3 linked regions of the Macaca fascicularis genome follow. The protein of the gene in region 1 interacts with the protein of each later gene in a biochemical or structural test. Links are inferred from orthologs where the notes say so. Each region holds a gene or a part of one and is shown on either strand. Other genes may lie near its edges. The genes, in order: DYRK1A, LIN52 and DCAF7.

Region 1 (6,738 bases):
GATGGTCTCGATCTCCTGAACTCGTGATCCGCCCATCTCGGCCTCCCAAAGTGCCGGGATTACAGGCTTGAGCCACTGCAACCGGCCCAAATTTCTCCTTTTCATAAGGACAGCAGTCATTTTGGATTAGGGTTCACTCTAGAGACCCAACTCGATATCCTCTGTGAAGACTCTACCTCCACGTAATCTTGAATCATCTTGGTGTGTTGGAAAGAACATGGGCTTTGCAATTATACCTGTGTTTGAATCCTGGCTTCACCACTTACTAGTGAGTGGTGACTGCCTTGAGAAAAGTCATGCAATTATTCAGGACTTGTTTTCTCATCCCTATAGTGGGGATGCAATGTTGCTGTGAGGATTAGAGATACTCTAGAACGTGCTGGATAAGTGGAGGCTGTTACCACCTATAAGCTGAGGGCCTTTGCTTTTCAAGGTGAAAAGTCTATGAATAAATACACCTGTAAGTGAATCTAATGGGGAGATTCTTGGATGACAGGGATTTCATCTGTGAACCAGGTCAGCTGGCATCTGTACCAGAGTCCTTCCGGCCTACATGTGGTCACTTGTTTGGAGCCAGCTGTAATTTACAGGTTACGTTTTTAGGCGAAGCCTGTGTAAAACCATTTTATAGCATTCCAACCTGGATATGACATTCACTGACCAATGTTGTCCAAGGCTGTCACACTGGGGAAAAAGGGGGTGCAGATTTCTAGATACGAAGACCAGCGATGCCTTCTATTCCCACACGTTTCTAATCTCAAGATTCTGCCCTACTCCGATGATCTTCTGGGTTGATTTGAACTGAAGACAAGGACACATATCTTGAGACACTGTCATATTCTGTTCCGGTTACCTAAGAAGATTAACTACGCAAGTTTCTTCCATTACCAGGAATAAAACTTTGAGTCAAATTTAATTTAGTACTAAAGGTTGCAAATGCTGACGTGCTCTGATAGAAGCGAAAGCTTGGTTAACGGGGTGGGATGGGGTGGGGGCAGGAAAGAGAGACCCGGGAGCAGAGAGGAAGGAGTTGGTTGTATAGGTGGAAGTTTGAGCTTGGGAGGAACCAGGTAGCGACCTCTCCTCTGAATAAGGGGCGCTCTGGGCCACTTCCTCTTTCTTCAAAACAATTAAGTTGACCGTGGACTTTAATCACATTAGCAGGGCAATTTTGAAACAATAATCCGAAAGAACTTTTGCCCGTTACGGCAACTTTTTTTTTATATTATGGAGATCAGTCTGAAAGCAAGCTATTTGCCCGATTACTTTTTGACCAATTTATTTTCGGTTTAGTCAGGTTTCTTTCCAAGTCTGTGCTAATCTGAATGGCTACCTTAGTAATTACTTTTTGACCAGTTTATTTTCGGTTTAGTCGGATTTCTTTCAGTCTGTGCTAATCTGAATGGTTACCTTAGTACATCAATGTCCTAGTAACTGTAGCAAGGACATTTTTGCTGGAAATCATTTAAAGCAGGTGTCTTTGAGTCATGTAGCATACACAGCGGTATTTACTGCTAGTTTTTTACACCTAATATCGTTTATAAAATTTTATCTGTTGCTACTATATTTGTGAGGTTTATGAAAAAAATTGGTTATGAACACTATCACAAGGAGGCAAAATCAAGCTTAGAAATCAATTAGTGACTCTGCTGTAAAATAGTACACACACACACTTTTTTAAGCTATACATTTATTAAATGCCATTAGAGCTGGTACAAAATACAATTTTTAGCTGGTGGCTCTATGCCGGTTACAACGCAGCCAGCATGGCATACTTGGGTTTTCAAGCCTCAGGAGCTCACCCAGCAATACATAGGCAGGCAGAAGGGGTAGACAGAATAAAAATCAGCGAAAGCCAGGATATTAATAAAGAGTTTTGATGGTTAAGGACAAGTAGGCAAATTAAGACGCTGGAAACCGAGGAGCTGCACAGAAAAGAAAACCAGGGAGCTGGACGACAAGGACACAGTAACAGCACAAGGGGATTTATCTAAGGGGCATTCCGATGGAGCAGGCAGGCTGCGCCCAGAAAGGTGGGGAGGGGTTGGAAGCAGATGGGCAGGGACGGGCGAGCGTGCACAGCCTGAAAAAGTTTTCATGATGGCTCCAGCCTAATTTCCCAACGCTGGTCTCGGGCGCCACAAAACCCGAGCGGCCCGACCGGAGCCGGGTGCCAGCCTCAGGGCCGCCGGGGCCCGGCGCAGCGTCCGGAATTCCTGCGATGTCTGGGGCCCGGCGGCGGCTCCTCCCCGCCCCCACCGCGGCCTCCGCCGGCATTTTCCGGCGAGGAGGCCCGCGAGCCCTTCGAAGAACCGGCTCCACGCGCGGCCGGCCGCGGCCGGCGCGCTTCCCGGGGAGAAAGGCGAGCGCGGCGTCCGGACCGCGGTGAGAGCCCTCCAGGCCCGGGCGTGCGGGGTGGGCTTCCCGGGTCCCTGCCCGAAGGCCGCGGCGCCCCGACCCTCCCCCTCCCCCGCCCCCGCCCGGGGCAGCCCTCCCCTCCCCCCGGCGCGGGCGGGGCTGCGGGCGCCAACGCGGAAGCGCGGGGCGCTAGGGCTGCGGGGGCGGCGGCGCGGGAGGCCGCGCGCGCTCCCCGGGCCGCAGTCGGCGCGGGCGCGGGGCGGGGCGAGGCGGCCGGGAGGCGGCGGGCGCTCGCGCACAGGCCTGGCCGCCGCCTCGCCCCCCCTTCCCCAGTCCCTACCCTCTCTCGGCCTAGCCGTCCCCCTCCTCTCCCCTCCCCCGGGCGAATCACGCGCCCTCCTCTGACACTCGTAGCGGGCCCGAGCTCCGAATTTATCCTTCACGTGACCTGAGGGGGTTGGGTGGTTGGCTGGGGACGGAGGGGGAGACGGAAAGGAGGGAACGGAATCTGCCGTTACCTGAGCAACAGGCCCCGCCCGCCGGATCGGGGCCGGGGGGCGGGAGGAGGACGTCAGCACGTCAGCCGGGGTTTTGCGTTTTGATTGACAGTTGCTATAGCGACCGGGTCGGTCCGTCGCCATTTTGTTGGTTGGTTTTTTTTTAAACCCTTTCGCTTCCCGCCCGAATAATAATAAAAAGCCCCATTGGAGTGAGGCGGGGGTGGCGGCGGCAACCGCGGCGGGGGTATCCGGGGAGACTGCTGCCGTCGCTGCTGCTGATCGCGGCCCAGGTCGGGCTCAGAGAGCGGACACCCCGAGCGGGGGGTGCGGGCGCCGCCGCCGCCGCTTCTGCTGCTGCTGTTCCTGCTGCTGCTGTTGGTGCCGCTGCCGCCGCCGGCGAGCGGGCGGGACCGGTGTGAGTGCGAGTGTGTGCGAGGGAGCGTGTGCGAGGGCGAGTGTGCGCGCGAGTGTGCGGGTGTGTGCGAGTGTCTGTCTGTCTGTGCGGGGACTCGGGGGCGGGCGGTTCGGGCTCTCCTGGCGGAGGAGCCGCCGCCGCCGCCCGGGCCCCGGCGCTTCTCGCTGCGCAGGTTCGGAGCGCGCGCCATTTTGTGAGATTTACAAAATCCTCCTCGGGAAGAAGCCGCCGGCAGCAGCCGCCGCTCGGCGCCCGGCCTCGCCGCCGCCGCCCTCTGTGCCGGGCCGGGCCGCGCGGCCCCGCCGCCGGGAATCGGGGCCCGGGGACTGCGGTATTTGCCGGGGAGGGGGCTGTCGCCTCCCCGGCCCCGGGCGCCGCTGGAACCGCGAGCCGAGGAGAGACTGAGCAGGCTGCGGCGCGGCCAGGAGCCGGAGCGCCGGGGGCGGAGAGAGGCGGCCGGGGCGGCGCTGGCTGCGGAGGCCGCGGCGGGAGCGGGAGCGCGGCGCGGGAGCCCGAGGCTGAGACTCACCGGAGGAAGCGGCGCGAGCGCCCCGCCATCGTCCCGGTGAGTGTCCGGCCCGGCCGCGGCCCCGCCCGGCTCGGCGCTCGGCTACCCCGGCGGCCCGCAGCCGGGCCCGAGCCGAGGCCGGCCGGGCGGAGGGAGGGACCTGCCATTTTAGGAGGAGGCGCCGCGGGCCCTGGGCCGGCCGCCGGGGGAGGGAGCCTCAGGCCCGGTCCCAAAGGAGCGGCGGGCGCGAGCGGAGGGAAAGTTGCGGAGGGTGGGAGCGGGGGCCGCGGCCTCCCGGGAGCCGGGGCCTGGGGGGCCGTAGACAGCGCCAGACCTTCACTGGCCGCCCGAGCGAAGGGGTGGAGGTTGTCTTCCTCCTCCTCTTCCTCCTCATCTTCTTCCCCCAGCTCCTCCCTCGTCCCTCCTCTCGGTCCCCACCAGTGTGGGAACCGCCGGGGTGCTTCGCAAGGACAATGCACGGGTTAAGAAAATGGGGCCGGCTGGGCGAGGACGGCGGGGCCGGGCCGGGCGCCGGGGAAGGTCGGGAGCCGCTGCCTCGGCGGCCCTGGGGGTCCGCGCCTGAGCGAGGGGCACTCACTGGTCTCCGATGTTGGGCGGGGAGCGCGAGTGTCCCCGGCGGCTCGGGGTGGAGGGATGACCTGCCCGGCAGCCGGGGGAGTTGGTGGCTGAGGAGAGGTGAATTAGAATGGATACCTGTGTATCGCCACAAAACTTCACGAGTCTATTTATAGGCACAAACCCACTCTCGCTTCGGAGCCACTGAAGCTGCTGAGCAGTTCAGCTCTTGGCCAAAGGCTCCTCCCTAATCTGAAATAGTTAAAAATGGTAAAATTAGTGAGTCAGTGACTTCGGTTCCTTGCCTGTGCCTTTAGCCCAACCCTAGGTGACACGAATCCCGTAATCTAGGCGCAGCGCAGGAATGCCAGCACCATTTGGTTCTTGAATTCCTCCCAAATTGTCAGAAAATACGCCTTAGAATATGGTTTTCACAAGTGCCAGGCGCTGTTCTCAGGGTTTTCCGTGGAGCGACCAGCTTGCCCAGCCGGTAGGAACTGTTCCCATTTTACAGATGAGGAGACTGAGCCTGGAGAAGGGGCACTGACTGGTCTGAGGTAATACAGCTGGGACTCCAGGAGCCGGGAAGCTGTAGCCAGTCTGGACTTGTGAATCACTAGGGTGTAACTTATTATTATAAATACTGGCAAATTTTGGAGTGATTCGTGTGTAATGACTCAGGGTTCTAACCTAGAGATTGTGTCCCCGTATGGTTTTTAGCATGGAATTAATAACCTTTGTGGCTTGCCGAGGCCGAAAGGTAAAGTAATGGTAATGAGCCCTCTTAATGAAACTTTTCCGTCCTTTTTTTCCCCCCAAGAAAACTATGTAGTTAATTTTTGAATGAAAGGAATTAAAAAATACTCCTTGGTGTGTTTTGTACTTCAAACTTAATTTTGATTAAAATCATCTTCTGAGTATTGATGAGTCATAAGAAAGTTTTGTGTGAAGTTATTTTTAGTTATTTTATTCTTTGCTTAAGAGCCTCTGTGACCCCTTTATATTTTGTGTCCAAAGTTAATATATTTAGCATTTTGATTTTGAGGTGTTTTAATAATTCAGTGGAATTACCTTTAGTTTTTGTTTTCTTAAATTTCTCGTATCTTGATCAGTTACTTTAGGAGAATATGGTTTTCAAGTAGACTTTTAAAAATGTGAGACTAGAACTAAAGTTTCATGTGCTAAGGTTTTAAACTGCAGAAGATCATTTCAAAGCAACTGGTTATGAAAAAAGCTTACTTGATTGTAGTTAAGATTTTTTACGTATACTTCAAGTATCCCAGTACTTTTGGAGGATTTTCCCTGGTATAGCAGTGGTGTTTATGGTAGCTGTCCAAATTTATTTAAGACTTCAAACCATGCTAGAAAGTTGACTCCTGTCAATGTCTACACCTAGTTCTCTTGTAAGACTAGTTGTAAACATTTCATTTTTACCTCAAGACCTCAGAGATCATTAAAGGAGGAAGGATCACCCCTTGTGTTTGCACCACGAAGGCACACTCCTTTTTACCTGGTGGGTGTTGAAGAAAGGTTTGAAGGAATAGACTTGAATGAATGGTGATTATTGGTAGGGATGAGAAATGGACCAGATGACCTAGTGAGATCTCTTGTTATTGTTAGGAATTTGAGATCTAAGTGTAGGATCATCTGTTAAACCTTTTAACGATATTTTGGTGGAACCTATTAGAAACTTAACGCATTATTGTGTACAAGAGATTTAAAAATAAGTCCAGTTTTTTAGAGGCACTAACATTTAAGATAATGTAAAACATTCCATATTAGTGCAATGTCTTGTTAGGGAATGTGGACAGTAAAAACGGCCATTTGTTAAAAGTTTTTTTCCCCTCTAAAATATTGTCTGATGTTTGCTCCTCGGTGTTATTTATGGAGAGTTACTATTATGGAGAGTTACTGTTTATGACTTAAAGATATGGAGGTGGAGAGGCCTAGGTAACTGCAACAATGTATCTTAAGTAATTTACTTTAGGTTTTTAGAGTGCTATGAATGTTTATCTGCAAAAGGAAAATTCAAGATACCTTGTTATAAACATGGTATACAGTGACCTTTGGCATGCATTTTGTTTTGTAACTACACAAAGTGTTAATTTGGATTGAATCTTGGTTTTCACTTGAAAACCATTTTTTTTTTTTAAAGAAATAGCTTAGAAATTTAGACTGCCTGGGGTGTTTTCGTGTGTCTGTTTATGGTTGACAGGTATCTAGTTACCAGAAGAAAATGTGGATGGAATTAACTGTACTATAGGCGAGAAGGGAATTGCCTTATATATGCCACTAAACACAAGATTAGAATAAGAGTGGACTTCACTTGTGACTTTCTTGGTATTTGTGATTAGGTGTGTGCCAGTTTGTCTTTGCTTTGG
Region 2 (6,747 bases), on another chromosome or scaffold:
GGGAACTCTCCTGTTTCAACATGAGGACTTTATCTTCATCTGTATGCCAATGATTCCATATTTACATTTCCATTGCCAACCTTTCTAAAGAACTACAAAGGTTTATGTCCAAGTGGTTATTTGAATCCCTCTCTATTTACATATGAAAAAACCGCTTAAGGTCAGATGCAGTGGTGCACGCCTGTAATCCCAGCACTTTGGGAGGCCGAGATGGGTGGATTGCTTGAGTTTGAGACCAGCCTGGCCAACATGGCGAAACCCCATCTCTACAAAAAGCAAAAAATTAGCCAGGTGTGGTGGTGTCAGCCTGTAGTCCCAGCTACTTGGGAGGCTGAGGTGGCAGGATGGCTTGAGCCCAGAGGTGGTGGCTGCAGTGAGCTAAGATCACACCACTGCACTCCAGCCTGGGTATAAGAGCCACACCTTGTCTCAAAAAAAAAAAAAAAAAAAAAAAATTCCCACTTAAACCTAATTATCTTCAAAACCATATTCCCCCAATCTTCTCCCATCTCAAGAAATAGCACTACCATAAACCCTACTTCTCAAATCGAAAACCCAGATGTCATCCTTCATGCATTCTTTTCCTTCACCCTTCCATAACCAATCCATGAGTAAATCTAGTCATTTCTACCTTCAAAATACATCCTGAAATCGAATAACCCGAGGAACCACCACTTCCCTCTTGGACTACTTCAACAGCCTCTTAACAGATCTCTCTGCTCCCATTCTTACCCTTTCCCCTTCACGTCCCCAAATCTATTCTCTATAAAGAGGCCAGAAATGATTTTTTAAAATGTCAATCAGTTCGTGTCACTCTGCAGCTTAAAGTTCCTCCCAGTTAAATCTGTGAATGTGTATCTACCATATTCTATAAAATCTTACTCAGCCTCTGCCTAATTCTTTGACATCATTTCTCTTCCACTCTTCCCTTGCACAGAGTAGTACTCAATATTAACATTCGTTGAGTTTTTATTGTATGCTCAGTATGCTAACCAGTTGCATAACTAGTTCATTTAATGCTATAAACAGCGGTTCTTAACATTTTCTGGGTAAGCCACATCTTTGGAAATCTGGGAAAAAAAATGAACTCACTCCCCAGAAAATACACATATGTACAAAATTTTTCAACATGTACTTTTCTCTAAACTGAATTTGTTTTGCCAAATATCCCAAAGGAATTTCCAATGGCATTTTAATTGTAAAGAACTCAACTAATACACTGCCTTAACTAAAGCATTAAAAATTAGCTTCTCTTTGTTACCAATTTCTGAGGAATGTTCAACCATAACAAAAATAAAGTTATTGGGCCAGGTGCGGTGGCTCGTGTCTGGAATCCCAGTGCTTTGGGAAGCTGAGGCAGGAAGACTGTCTGAGCCCAGGAGTTTGAGACCAGCCTGGGCAACATAGTGAGACTTTATCTCTACAAAAAATAATAAGGCAGGGCACGGTGGCTCACGTCTGTAATCTTAGCACTTTGGGAGGCTGAGGTGAGTGGATCACCTGAGGTCAAGAGTTTGAGACCAGCCTGGGCAATATGGTGAAACCCTGTCTCTACTAAAAATACAAAAATTAGCCAGGTGTGGTGGTGTGTGCCTGTTATCCCAGCTACTGGAGAGGCTGAGGCATGAGAATTACTTGAACCCAGGAGGCAGGGATTGCAGTGACCCGAGATCGTGCCATGGCACTCCAGCCTGGGTGACAGAGTGAGACTCCGTCTCAAAACAAAATAAATAATAATAACAATAAATTAGCTGGGCATGGTGGTGTGAGCCTATAGTACCAGCTACTTGGGAGGTTGAGACGGGAGGATAGCTTGAGCCTTTGAGGGTGCAGTGAGCTATAATCATACCACTGCATTTCAGCATGGGCAATAGAGTGAGAGAGACCCTGTCTCTAAAAGAAAATTTTTAAAAAAATTATTGGGGGTACAATCTAATAACCTACACGGGTGACCTTATGATACCACAGTCTGGGATAGAACTCAGACTCTGCTGTGAGTCTTACTCTCATAAATTAAGTAATTAGATGGCTGTATTTGAATTTCAGTTTTCTCCTTTTCAAAGAAGCTCCAGCAAATTTATCACGAAAAAGACAAAAGAGTAAATGACAAACATTTTCAAGTCAATGTTATCTGAATTAAATTTTAAAGACAGTGACAGGTGGAACACTAAAAATAGAAGTGAGAGAGCTAGGCCATGGAATATTTTGGAATGAGATACTTACTGAGACGTTGAATTTAAGTTCAAAGTGCTTGACTTGATTTTTTCAGATTAAAAGAAAACATTAGGTGGAGAGGAGTAAAACTTTGTAAGAGATGAGAATGAAGACTTTTAAAAATCAAGAGTGCAAATAAAGTGACCATAGGGATGGCTAGAAGACCAAAGGAAAAAAATTTAACATTTTTAATACTCTTCCTGGCCAAAGAAAGGAAACTAAATTGAGAGAAGGCAAGGAAAAAAAAAACCAAACTCAAGGAACACATCTCTAAAATCCCCAAAATTTGTAAAAACAATTTTAAAATAAACTAAAAAATTTAATAACAATTACCTCTATTTCTATCACTTGGCTTTTTAAAAAAATTGTGGTGAAATATACATAAATTTTACCATTTTAATAACTTTTAAGTATAGAGTTCAGTGGTATTAAGTACATTAATTGTGCAATCATCACATTCATTTCCAGAACATTTTCACCTTCCCAAACTGAAATTTGGTACCCATTAACAATAACTCCCTATTCCCTTTTTAAATGCCTTTCTTTCTGGCGAGAGAAGGACATTTTTGCAAGAGAGCACCCAGGAAGGAGAATCTCTTTTGACTCCAAACATCCAAATTTCTTGTTTTTCCTTCTTTTTTTTTTGAGACGGGGTCTCGCTTTGTCACTCAGACTGGAGTGCAGTGACATGAACATGGTTCACTGCAGCCTCCACCCCCAGGCTCAAGTGATTCTCTTGCCTTAGCCCCCCAAGTAGCTGGGACTACAGGTGCACGGCACCACACCCAGATAATTTTTGTATTTTTTTGTAGAGATGGGGTTTCACCATGTTGTCTAGGCTCGTCTTCAACTCCTGAGCTCAGGCAATCTGCCTGCCTCAGCCTCCCAAAGTGCTGGGATTAGAAGTGTGAACCACCACGCCCGGCCATAATTTCTAACACAGTATGTACCTGTGCTCACAAAATTTAAGACTCGGTTAAACGTAAAACTTAAGATCAAGTAATATATTATTTCTGCACATATCTAATCAATCTTTCAATACATGTTAATTAAAGACCTACTGTTCGTCAGGCACTGTGCTAAACCTGGGATCCAGCTATGAACAAGACAAACTTGTAATTTATAATCTAGCGTACAAGGGGCAAAGTTAACATAGTAACTATGCTGACAAGGAAGATACTGAGGCAATGAATAATGGTGGGGAAGGGCAACTCCAGATACTGTGTTCTAAGAAAGACTCTTTGGGAGGTGACATCTAAAAAGAGAACTGAAACTGGAAAAAAAAAAAAAAAAAAAAGTGTGTATGTTTGAGTCATCTTTTGGTCTCCCAAAGCACCTAGCATTATGCCTTTCATGTAGTAGGTACTCAATACAGCTCACCTTGGCTTCAATTTCTTCATTCCTGCAATGAACTTCCAAGATTCCTTCCAAATACAAAATCTGTTTGTCTAAGGGAGGGAAACCTATATATCAATAAAATCGATATATAGTTGGGATGCGGATGGTAGAACTAAAAATGAGTTTAAAAATGACTGCAAGACCCTCTCTAAAGCAGAACCAAAAGCAAAAGCATGGGAGTATACCAAAACAACTTGTTACTTGAGATGACTTGCATTTTACACAACATATAAACAGAAATCGTTCATTCACTCAGCCTTAAGAAACAACACGTAAAGCAGATGAAAGAGCGGTTGCGACCTGTGCAAGACAACACTTAAAAGCTCAATACTCATTCTCCTCGCGACTCTCTCGGCGAGGGGCCGAGAACGTCCCCCGCTTCTCTTGCTGCCACGGCAATGGTCCCAAACTGAGGAGACAGGAGAGAGATCATGTTTCTCTTGCGGTTCACTATCGAGATGGGGTCAGCCAGCAGCCCCTGCGAGGGTTTGAGAATCGTTCCATCTGTGCGCTCAATCAGAAGAGAACTGATCCTTTCAATGGGATACCCCAAGGAGAAAACTACAGTAAGGCACGTCCTCCAGTAACATCTCCTCCTCTACCCTCAGCCTCGCCCAAATAGAGATAAGGAAGGGCCAGGGCGACCCCTGTCCTTTTACCCAGAATGAGTCCCTCCCTAGTGCCCTCCTCCACACGCCTGGTACAGAGCAGGGAAACTGGGCACCTCTGAAGCTGCTGCGAAGAACCGGTGAGCTGAAGACGGCGATGGATCGCAAGAAAAAAAACAAAAGGGAAATGAGAAGAGCCCAAGAAAGAAATGTATGTTCGAGGGGCAGAGACAGAGTGGATGTTCCCCATACAGCAAAGAAGGAGGCTGCAGGCAAACATCCCTAAGCCGGCTCTTACCGTCTGTGGGAGACGCCATCTTCCAACCCATGTCACGTGACGTGGCCAACCGTCGGCGGGAAAACGAGGATCCATAAGCCACGCCCCCAAAGAGAAACCCTATCCCCAACTCGCAGCCACGTCTCATTCCCTCGCCTCATAGGGCAATCTTCGCCCAGCCCCTCCCCTCATCATAGCCACGCCCCTTATGCAGTTGTTGAGGTGGAGCGACAGCAAAATTCTTGGAGGGTCTTATTTACTTTGCTCAGTGAAGGGGTGGGGCCTCGGTTGCGTCCTTGGCCAATCGGAGTTCCAGGTTAGGGGGGCGTCTCCTCCGTGTGCTCAGTATGGAGTGTCCAAGTCGGGGGCGTCTTCTCTACCTCCGCCAACGGCATTGGCTGAGGTAGGAGAGGGTGCGAGCATTTTCGCTCCTGACCAATCACTTATCCCCAGGACTGGGGTGTGAGAGGAGGAATCAGGTGTTAGGACGAGTGATTGGCTGAAGAAAATAGTCCTCCCCACCAATGAGGAAGCCCGGCAGGATGGAGGGCGAGGCCTGGCAGCTGTAGTGCGTCTGAGCTGTAGAGGAGCGGGTTGCGGAGCTAGGGCGGCCGAGAGCCATGGCGGCGGTAGTGGCGGCGGCGGCGGCGGTAGTGCGAGCCAGGATCCTGCAGGCGAGTGAGGGTGGCGCCAAGGCACCATGAAGCTAGGAATTGGATCCTTTCCGTCCACTCCCTGAGCCGTCCTCGGGCGGGACCACCTTCTTGGCCCAACCCCTTTTTGGCCGGACCTCCTACCTAACCTGTGGGCCCTGTCCCATGCCCAGCCCTCACTTCATACCCTCCCTCGTCCCGGATCCAACCCTGGGCTGTTACCCTTGGCCCTCTACCCTTTTACTCCTAAGCCTCCTCTTTTCTGGCTCTCGCCCACTCTCCTTCTCCAGCTCTGCCCGCTCCCTGCTGTCAGTCTCTTGCCCTCATCTCTCCATCCGCCCACCGTCTTTCCCTTTCACCTCTGCACCAGCGTTCTCTCTATCCCCCAGAAACTACTCTTTTTGGTTATTCTGTCCCCTGCCTTGAGTGTCCACGTTGCCATTGCTCCCTTCCCCCACCCTACTTCACTGTCCGTGGTGATCCGAGGTAAGAGGGAGGGGGAACGTGAGGGGCGAGGGTCAGTGTATGAACTTTGAATTTTCTTCTAGAAGTGGACTCTAGATTTTCACCAAAGGCAGCCATTTACCGAATTATTTTCCCTAAGTGTGGCTCTTTGTATTTTCCATAGACTGGCTGTCCCCTTTCTTGCCAAAACTTTCAGTGAAACTTTCAGCCAAGTTAAACAGTTTACATAGATAGGGCACATGTACATAGGGTAGATAAGGGCACACAGTTAACGCTACCAGTATGTTCCATGTACGTTCAAGGTACTAAACATTTTCAAAACAGGTGATAGAAAGTGGGAGCCAGGTAAGACAAGAAGTCTAAGTTCCCACCCCAAATCAGCTCTTCTAGTGCCACACACCCTCATCTCTGCACTTGGGGGATTGAGTCCTTTCTGAAGCCAACCTAAGGAGAAATGGTAAAGCTACAGGAGTTGCATGCCTGAGGCCTGTAATCTCCAACTCTATAGTCTTTCCCCTGTTCATGGCCTACCAAGGATTTAGAGTATGAGGCAAGATTTACTGCAGGCAAGAAACAATCAGCAAGAAACAACAGTGCCCTTCTTATTCATTACATCCAGTCTGAGAATTTCCTCTGTATTGCTGCGCTTTTAGGTAATATTAGTATTCACCAGGTTTCCGTGAGTTCTAGTACAGAAACTTGGGCATTTTCAAGATTCTTGGCAGAGTCAGCAAAGATTCACGTTTAAATATGCTATTTAATGGGGACGGTAGAAAGGATGAGTTTGAAGGGTTTGTCAGATGGTCTGGCCTCACTCATATTTCTTGCTGTGATCCTTGTTCTGTTCTAGTATCTTTTTTTAGTAGCAGGAAAACAAAGTTTCCACCCTATATTTTTCTTACCAACTTCTTGAAATCTTTTACTGAAATTGGTTTTTTTCCTTTGCCTCCTCTTCCCCTCCCATCACAATGAGTCATTGAGAACCTTAAGAAAGTATTTTGTTCTTTTCCATCAAGGAGAAGAATCTCTCTTTCCTTGTACTTTATTTCAGAAACAGACACTATGTATTTTCTGATTCATTTGGAGAAACTTCTGAAGTGACCTAGAAAAGAACAAATAGAGTAATCCTCAG
Region 3 (6,876 bases), on another chromosome or scaffold:
GGCTTGCTGGGAGGCTTGGGTGGGAGAGTCACTTGAACCTAAGAGGTCAAGACTGCAGTAAGCCATGTTCATGCAACTGTACTCCAACCTGGGTAACAGAGCAAGACTCAGTCTCTTTTTTTTTTTTTTTTTTTGAGACAGAGTCTCGCTCTGCGGCCCAGGCTGGAGTGCAGTGGCCGGATCTCAGCTCACTGCAAGCTCCGCCTCCCGGGTTCACGCCATTCTCCTGCCTCAGCCTCCCGAGTAGCTGGGACTACAGGCGCCCGCCACCTCGCCCGGCTAGTTTTTTGTATTTTTAGTAGAGACGGGGTTTCACCGGGTTAGCCAGGATGGTCTCGATCTCCTGACCTCGTGATCCGCCCGTCTCGGCCTCCCAAAGTGCTGGGATTACAGGCTTGAGCCACCGCGCCCGGCCAAGACTCAGTCTCTTAAAAAAAAAAAAAAAAAAAAAAAGGTTGGTCACGGGGTGGCTCACGCCTATAATCCCAGCACTTTGGGAGGCTGAGGTGGGAGGACCGGTTGAACCCAGCCTGGGTAATACAGCAAGACCTTGTCTCTACAAAAAATAAAAGGAGGTAGGAGGATTGCTTGAGCCCGGGAGGCCAAGGCTGCAATAAGCAGTGTCTCCCCCACTGCACTACCACCTGGGTAACAGAGCAAGACCCTGCCTCAAAACAAATGTGTATCAATTAATTGACATTTTAAAATTAATTTTTTGTAACTTTAATAAGGCTTTAAGGGTTACATCTATTAGTAGTACAGTTGTTCAAAACAACATTTATATTCAATTTTCTAATAAAAACTGAAATTTTATTGGAAATGTAGGTCACAAAAGAAAAAATTTCCTCCCCCCATTAGTTCCTATTATCTGTGGCTAAATATCATTATTTTTTATTAGAATAAGACAAGGTACCACAAATTTTGTACTTCTTTTTCTTTCCTTTTTAAATTTTTTTTTAAACTTTCCTCTTTACAGGGGATTTCCTTTAGCTGGGCGTGGTGGCGGGCACCTGTGATCCCAGCTACTCAGGAGGCTGAAGCAGGAGAATCACTTGAACCCTGAAGGCGGAGGTTGCAGTGAGCCAAGATAGTGCCACTGCACTAGAGCCTGGGCAACACAGCGAGACCCTGTCTCAAAAATAAAATAAAATAAAAAAATAAGGGGGATTTCTTGGGCAGATGTGGTGGCTCACGCCTATAATCCCAACACTTTCGGAGGCCAAGGCTGGCAGATCATTTGAGGTCAGGAGTTCGACACCAGCATGGTCAACATGGTGAAACCCTGTCTCTACTAAAAATACAAAAATTAGCTGGCCGTGGTGGTACACCCCTGTAATCCCAGCTACTCGGGAGGCTGAGGCAAGAGAATCACTTAAACCTGGGAGATGGAAAAATCATTTTCACTAAAAATTATATTTAGCGCCCAGAATGGTGGCTCAAGCCTGTAATCCCGGAACTTCTGGATGCTGATGTGGGAGGGTCGCTTGAGCCTAAGTTCGAGATCAGCCTGGGCAACATGGAGAGATCTCATCTCTACAAATAATTTAAAAATAGCTAGGTGTGGTGGCAAACGTCTGTTGTTCCAGCTGCTCTGGAGGCTAAAGTGGAATCGTTTGAGCCTAGGCAGTCGAGGCTACAGTGAGCCCTTATCACACCAGTGCACTCCAGCCTGGGTGACAGGGCAAGACCCTGTCTTTAAAAAAAAAAAAAAAAAAAAAAAAAACTTTAATGTTATAATCCAACAATTCAATACAAACCTCCTTCAATTTTGATGAAAGCTAAGAATTGGAAACCATTTATATAAAGGTGTCACTTGGTCTCTGGCCCTTCTCCCTTTCAAACTCACAGGCACAGATACTTTTGGGGCTGGATTAGCATTTGCGTTGGGATGCACGGCGGGGAAGGTACAGGATGGGAACCGACAAAAACAGAGCCAAGCTGGTCAGGTCGGTGTCTACCCCAGAATTCGGGGACATTTCTAGATCCTGCAGGAAAGCGCGGGAGGACCTGACTCAAGCTGGCCTGGCCCTGAGCGCAGCTGCGCCCCTGAAGCCTGGCCCTGAGGCCCGAAGACAGCAGCTTTCGGGTTAAAGGGGCCTTGGGAAGAGAAGGGGCAGGAAGGTGGTACCCGTTGCGCATAGGCCAGGCTGCCAGGCCGCGGGGCTCGGTCCCGCGAAAGTAGTAGGTCTTCCGCTAAAGCAGAATTGTACTTTTACTCGACAGCATGGAAAGGCCGCTCAGAACAGCAGCAGCAGAGGAGAAGTCAGCGCAGGTCACAGACAGTTTCACGCTCAGAGACTTGGCCTAGAACTTGGAGGCCCGCTACTCCAGCACGCTCGCCTCCCGGCCACCCACGCCCCCACCACCCGCACTGCGCCGTTATCTGCCTGACTGACATCTTGGTCAGCCAATGATCTTTGGGGCTGCCAAAGCGCCTGCCTCCGAGAGTTGGGCGGGGCGAGTAGTTGCAATGACAAACATTTAACCCAATAACGAGGAGATTTCACACGCTACGGCCGCAATAACCAATGAGAAGAAAGAATCCTTTCGAAAGGACGTGTCAGGCAACCAACGGCCGGTGGCGCTGCAGGGGTCCCGTGGCTTCCGTTCCGAGAGGGCGGGGCGGCGTCCCGAAACGGAAGGTGGTTGTCGTCGGTGCCCAAGCTGGTTTGAAACTAGGGGTCGGGTTCGGTCGTTGTCGTTGTTTGTCGCCGCATCCCCGCTTCCGGGGTAGGCCGTTCCTGCCCGCCCCCGCCCCTCCTCCCTTCGGACCCATAGATCTCAGGCCCGGCTCCCCGCCCGACTCGCACCCCGCCCGCCGCAGCCCACTGTTGACCCGGCCCGTACTGCGGCCCCGCCGCCACCATGTCCCTGCACGGCAAACGGAAGGAGATCTACAAGTATGAAGCGCCCTGGACGGTCTACGCGATGAACTGGAGTGTGCGGCCCGATAAGCGCTTTCGCTTGGCGCTGGGCAGCTTCGTGGAGGAGTACAACAACAAGGTGGGCCGGGCAGGGCCTCGGAACCCAGCTGGCGGGGAGCGGGCCCCGGGAGCGCCCTTTCCGGGCCGGAGCCCAGGCCCCAGAACCCTCCTGCGGACTCGCCTTAGGGCCATGGAGCGGTTCCAATGTCTGGCCCTGTGCTGAAGGTTTCGTACTCGTTGTCTGTCTCATTTAATCCCGGCAGCATTCTTGTGTAGTCGGCAGTGTAGTGGGGAAACTGAGTCACGGTTTTGTGACTTGCCTGTGTCAGGCAGCTATTTCGTGGTGGAAACAGGTCTTAAAACCGGGTTTACGCCCCAAAGATACTCCATTTATTCCTCCCGTGCTCTCCACTCCTGCCGCATTTTTTTCGTTGGTGGGCGGGGAAGGGAAGAGGGAGTGGTAGTTGTGAAGGAAAATGCAGACGCTTCTATTCGCGGTCGTGCACTCTTGGCCACACTAGATTTCTATTAAGACGATCTGTTGTACAAGCTTCCCCGCCCCCTACTCCCACACCCCGGGTGTGGATCCTAGCCCTTCTGCCAGAATTACTGTTGCTCTTGCTTCCTGATAACCATTCTCTCTAAAGCAATCTCTTTGGAAATCTTGGCCTGTGGCATGATCCCGCGGTTGTTTCCTGAACACAGGATGACAGGGCCTTATCTTTTGGCTTGTTTCATGCTAGTACAGTTGTGTGACCTTTAGTAATAGATCTTGCTGGACATTCATCAATTTGAGAATCCTTTATAGAAGCACGGTGTCGTAGGGGAGCTTTTAAACTGGCATTGCAACATAAACTCATCTTTGAAAGCTGAATAAGTCAGTTGGAAGCATTTTCTTTGCTTTCTTCCTTTTACTCAATTAAAGTTGAATGATAGCGATCAGAGCAACTGAAAGCTGTGGCTAGTGATATTTAAAGCCACTACTGCCTTATGCCATGAGCATCAGATTTAAGAAGAGTAAAACTGGCTGGGCGCGGTGATTCACGCCTGTAATCCCAGCACTTTGGGAGGCCGAGGCAGGCAGATTACCTGAGCTCAGGAGTTTGCGACCAGGCTGGGTAACAAGGTGAAACGCTGTCTACTAAAATACAAAAAAAAAAAAAAAAAAAGAAGAAGAAGAAAACTGTTCAGTGACAAGGCTCATGCAGGGGGGAAAAAGCCAGGTGGTCTAGGAGTGGGTCCTGTCTGATTATTGACTAGCTGTGAGGTGTTGCACAGGCCTGTTTTATTATCTGTGACCCACAGTTTGCTGTAGGGAAGGGGTTCTGGTTTACATGTGAGGGTCTTGTAAAAAAGAAATTTGAATATTTTACAGTTTGTTTACAGTTTTTCAGGAGCACGTTTCTCTAGAGTAGGTCTTCTTTGGAGTCCTCTTTGAGAAGCTGATGAAAGCGATGAATTTTCATTGTCCAGACATTACACATACGTGAACATATTTACAAACAAATCCAAGCAATATGCACTGATCTTTAAGTTCACCCATTTCCCGGGCGAAATAGAGCTGTATTTCCTTTCCTCTGATGCTTCTTTCTTCCTTGTGGCCCATTGTGGACAGCTGAACTGGGAATGGGATTCAAGATTCTGATGTGGACACCGTGTTAGTAAAATTAAGACCACTAGAACTATTGTTTAAGGATACACGTGGAAAATAAAAAAGTATGTCTTTCAAAGAGCTTAAGCTTAATTTTTCACACAAATTAATGTTTTTTTCCTGTGTGTTTTTCCAGTGTCACGGGGTAAACAATAGTTACTCCTATTCTCCAGAGAGGAGAAACTGAGCCACAGTTAGGCTGCTGGTAGAATCAATGGAGTAGTCAAACTGCTGTTGCAGGAACTCTACCCCAGTTTGTCCTTTCTTTTAGCAACTCTCTGGAGCTTCCTCTTTGTTCCAGGCACACAGGTAGCATGGCTTAGCAGTGAAATGCAAACTAATAACCCCACTATCAACAGCGTAAGCAGTTAGCTATATCTTAACTCACATGATGTAGGCAATGTGCTGTCTTAAAATCATTTTTGTGCCTCCACCTGTCAGTAGGTCAGGGTTCTTAAATTCTGTGTGCTATGATCATCTGATACCAATAGACCCCTTCTCATAGTTATGTTTTCAAATGCATAGAACACGTAGAATTACAAAAGAAACCACTTACGTTGCACTACAGATATAAACATGTTTTTAGAAGTGGTGATGTAGTCATATGTACTTTTAATAAATATATTGATTTACACCATCCAGTGTAATTATTAATGTAATTTTGAAGTGGTGACAAGGGTAAACAGCATTTCAAGATGCTTAACTGCACCGTGGTGGGAAAAAATATTTCTCTTGCTGGTGAAGTCACAGATACTTATGCCACTGTGAGCACCTAACCCATTTGTAATTGAAGGAAATAAAACATATTTAGCTAGAGGTGAATGGAAATATGGGCATGATTTTCCAATTCAAGTTCACAGACCCCAAGTTAAGAAACCCTGCGAGACAGGATTATGTCTAGTGGTTGGTGAGCAGCAAATCCTGCCTTAAAGCAATGATTCTGAAGCTAAGTTTGTGAGAAGCCCTGCCAAAGACGTGGTCGACTTCGTAATTTGGAGAAACTTTAGAATTATTGGTTGGAATTTTTAGACCATTGGTTCCTGCTTGCCATGGATAGTGATCACCAGCAGAGGAAAAAGTAAATGGACACAGCGAATTAACATTGATGAAAAAGGCTAGAAGTGGTCATCTTTTTAGTGTGGAGACATTCACTAAGAAAACATGGTTATAATTTTTAAAATTTGATATTAACATACTCATGTTTTCCTAACGTAAAATTGTTCCTAGTTGATCCATAGAATTAAGTCTATCAACAGTTTAAGAAATTGATTTCCAGGTGTTCCTTCGTGTGACTAAATTTGGGAATTATTGCAGAGTAAAAAAACAGATTCTATCAAATACACCTGGAATAAAAAGCCCCATTATAGGGCTGGGCGTGGTGCTTCACACCTGTAATCCTAGCACTTTGGGAGGCTGAGATGGGAGAATCACTTCAGTCCAGGAGTTTGATACCAACCTGGGCAACATGGAGAAACCCTGACTGTACAAAAACATTAAAAAATTAGCCAGGTATGGTGGCATCTGCCTGTAGTCCAGCTACTTGGGAAGGTGAGGTAGGAGGAAAGTTTGAGCCCAGGAGGCAGAGGTTACAGTGAGCAAAGAGCATGCCACTGCACTCCAGCCTGGGCGACAGAGCCAGACCCTCAAATAACGATGCTCAAAAAACAGCATCGTTATTGGTTATTATGTTTCTACCTTCTTTTGTTGTGGTCTCTTGAGGAATAAAGCAGGATTGGTGTTGGAGCAACAGGTTCTCTAAATTTTAGTGTGTGAGAATCCCAAGGGAGCTGCACATTCCTGGGCTCCACCCTTGAAGTTAACAGACTTGGAGATAGGTGACAGACACACTAGTGGTTAAGGGATCAGATGGCACTCTCAGAACATGGCCCTGGAGCTACCTTGGCATTTGCTGGCCAGAGGCAGGAATCTGATCTTTTTGTGCCTGCATGCCCCTAAACATTGGCTCTACCCTTCCATCCAACTTCACCGATGAAAAAAGCTCTGTGATTAGCCTGGGTTATCTAAGTCCTGCCACTTCCCAGTTTTGTATTGCCTTGGGCAAGTTATCCTCTGTGTCTCAGTTTCCTCATCTGTAAAATTAGGGCAATAAATAATAACATCTACCTTGTTCAGAGATTAAATGAGTAAATATATGTAATGGACTTAGGAACTCCACCTGGCATGGAGTAAGCCATATAGAGATGTTAGCTGTTATTTAATCATTATCATTACTGTACCTGTAATTGAAATATAACCAAAGAGAATTATATGACTGTTTAGTAAATTTAACTTTTGTATTTT

What was found.
Region 2: of the proteins of DYRK1A (region 1) and LIN52, one has a biochemical effect on the other in vitro, tested with the Homo sapiens proteins (3 studies listed by BioGRID). The link is inferred for Macaca fascicularis from reciprocal best matches to the Homo sapiens genes DYRK1A and LIN52.
Region 3: the proteins of DYRK1A (region 1) and DCAF7 form a complex in vitro, tested with the Homo sapiens proteins (2 studies listed by BioGRID). The link is inferred for Macaca fascicularis from reciprocal best matches to the Homo sapiens genes DYRK1A and DCAF7.

Annotation. Positions count from the first base shown.
Region 1 is NC_088377.1:9,630,553-9,637,290, reverse strand, and holds the start of DYRK1A (dual specificity tyrosine-phosphorylation-regulated kinase 1A), read left to right. Parts: upstream 1-2,052; 5' UTR 2,053-2,385; intron 2,386-2,977; exon of another isoform or gene 2,978-3,006; intron 3,007-3,232; exon of another isoform or gene 3,233-3,838; intron 3,839-6,738. UniProt on the Homo sapiens protein: Dual-specificity kinase which possesses both serine/threonine and tyrosine kinase activities. Exhibits a substrate preference for proline at position P+1 and arginine at position P-3.
Region 2 is NC_088381.1:142,021,785-142,028,531, reverse strand, and holds the start of LIN52 (protein lin-52 homolog), read right to left. Parts: upstream 4,557-6,747; 5' UTR 4,550-4,556; coding exon 4,519-4,549; intron 1-4,518. Other genes in the region: ALDH6A1 (methylmalonate-semialdehyde/malonate-semialdehyde dehydrogenase [acylating], mitochondrial), read left to right, coding at 5,118-5,171.
Region 3 is NC_088390.1:70,057,566-70,064,441, forward strand, and holds the start of DCAF7 (DDB1- and CUL4-associated factor 7), read left to right. Parts: upstream 1-2,632; 5' UTR 2,633-2,865; coding exon 2,866-3,003; exon of another isoform or gene 3,004-3,128; coding exon of another isoform or gene 3,129-3,149; intron 3,150-6,876. UniProt on the Homo sapiens protein: Involved in craniofacial development. Acts upstream of the EDN1 pathway and is required for formation of the upper jaw equivalent, the palatoquadrate. The activity required for EDN1 pathway function differs between the first and second arches.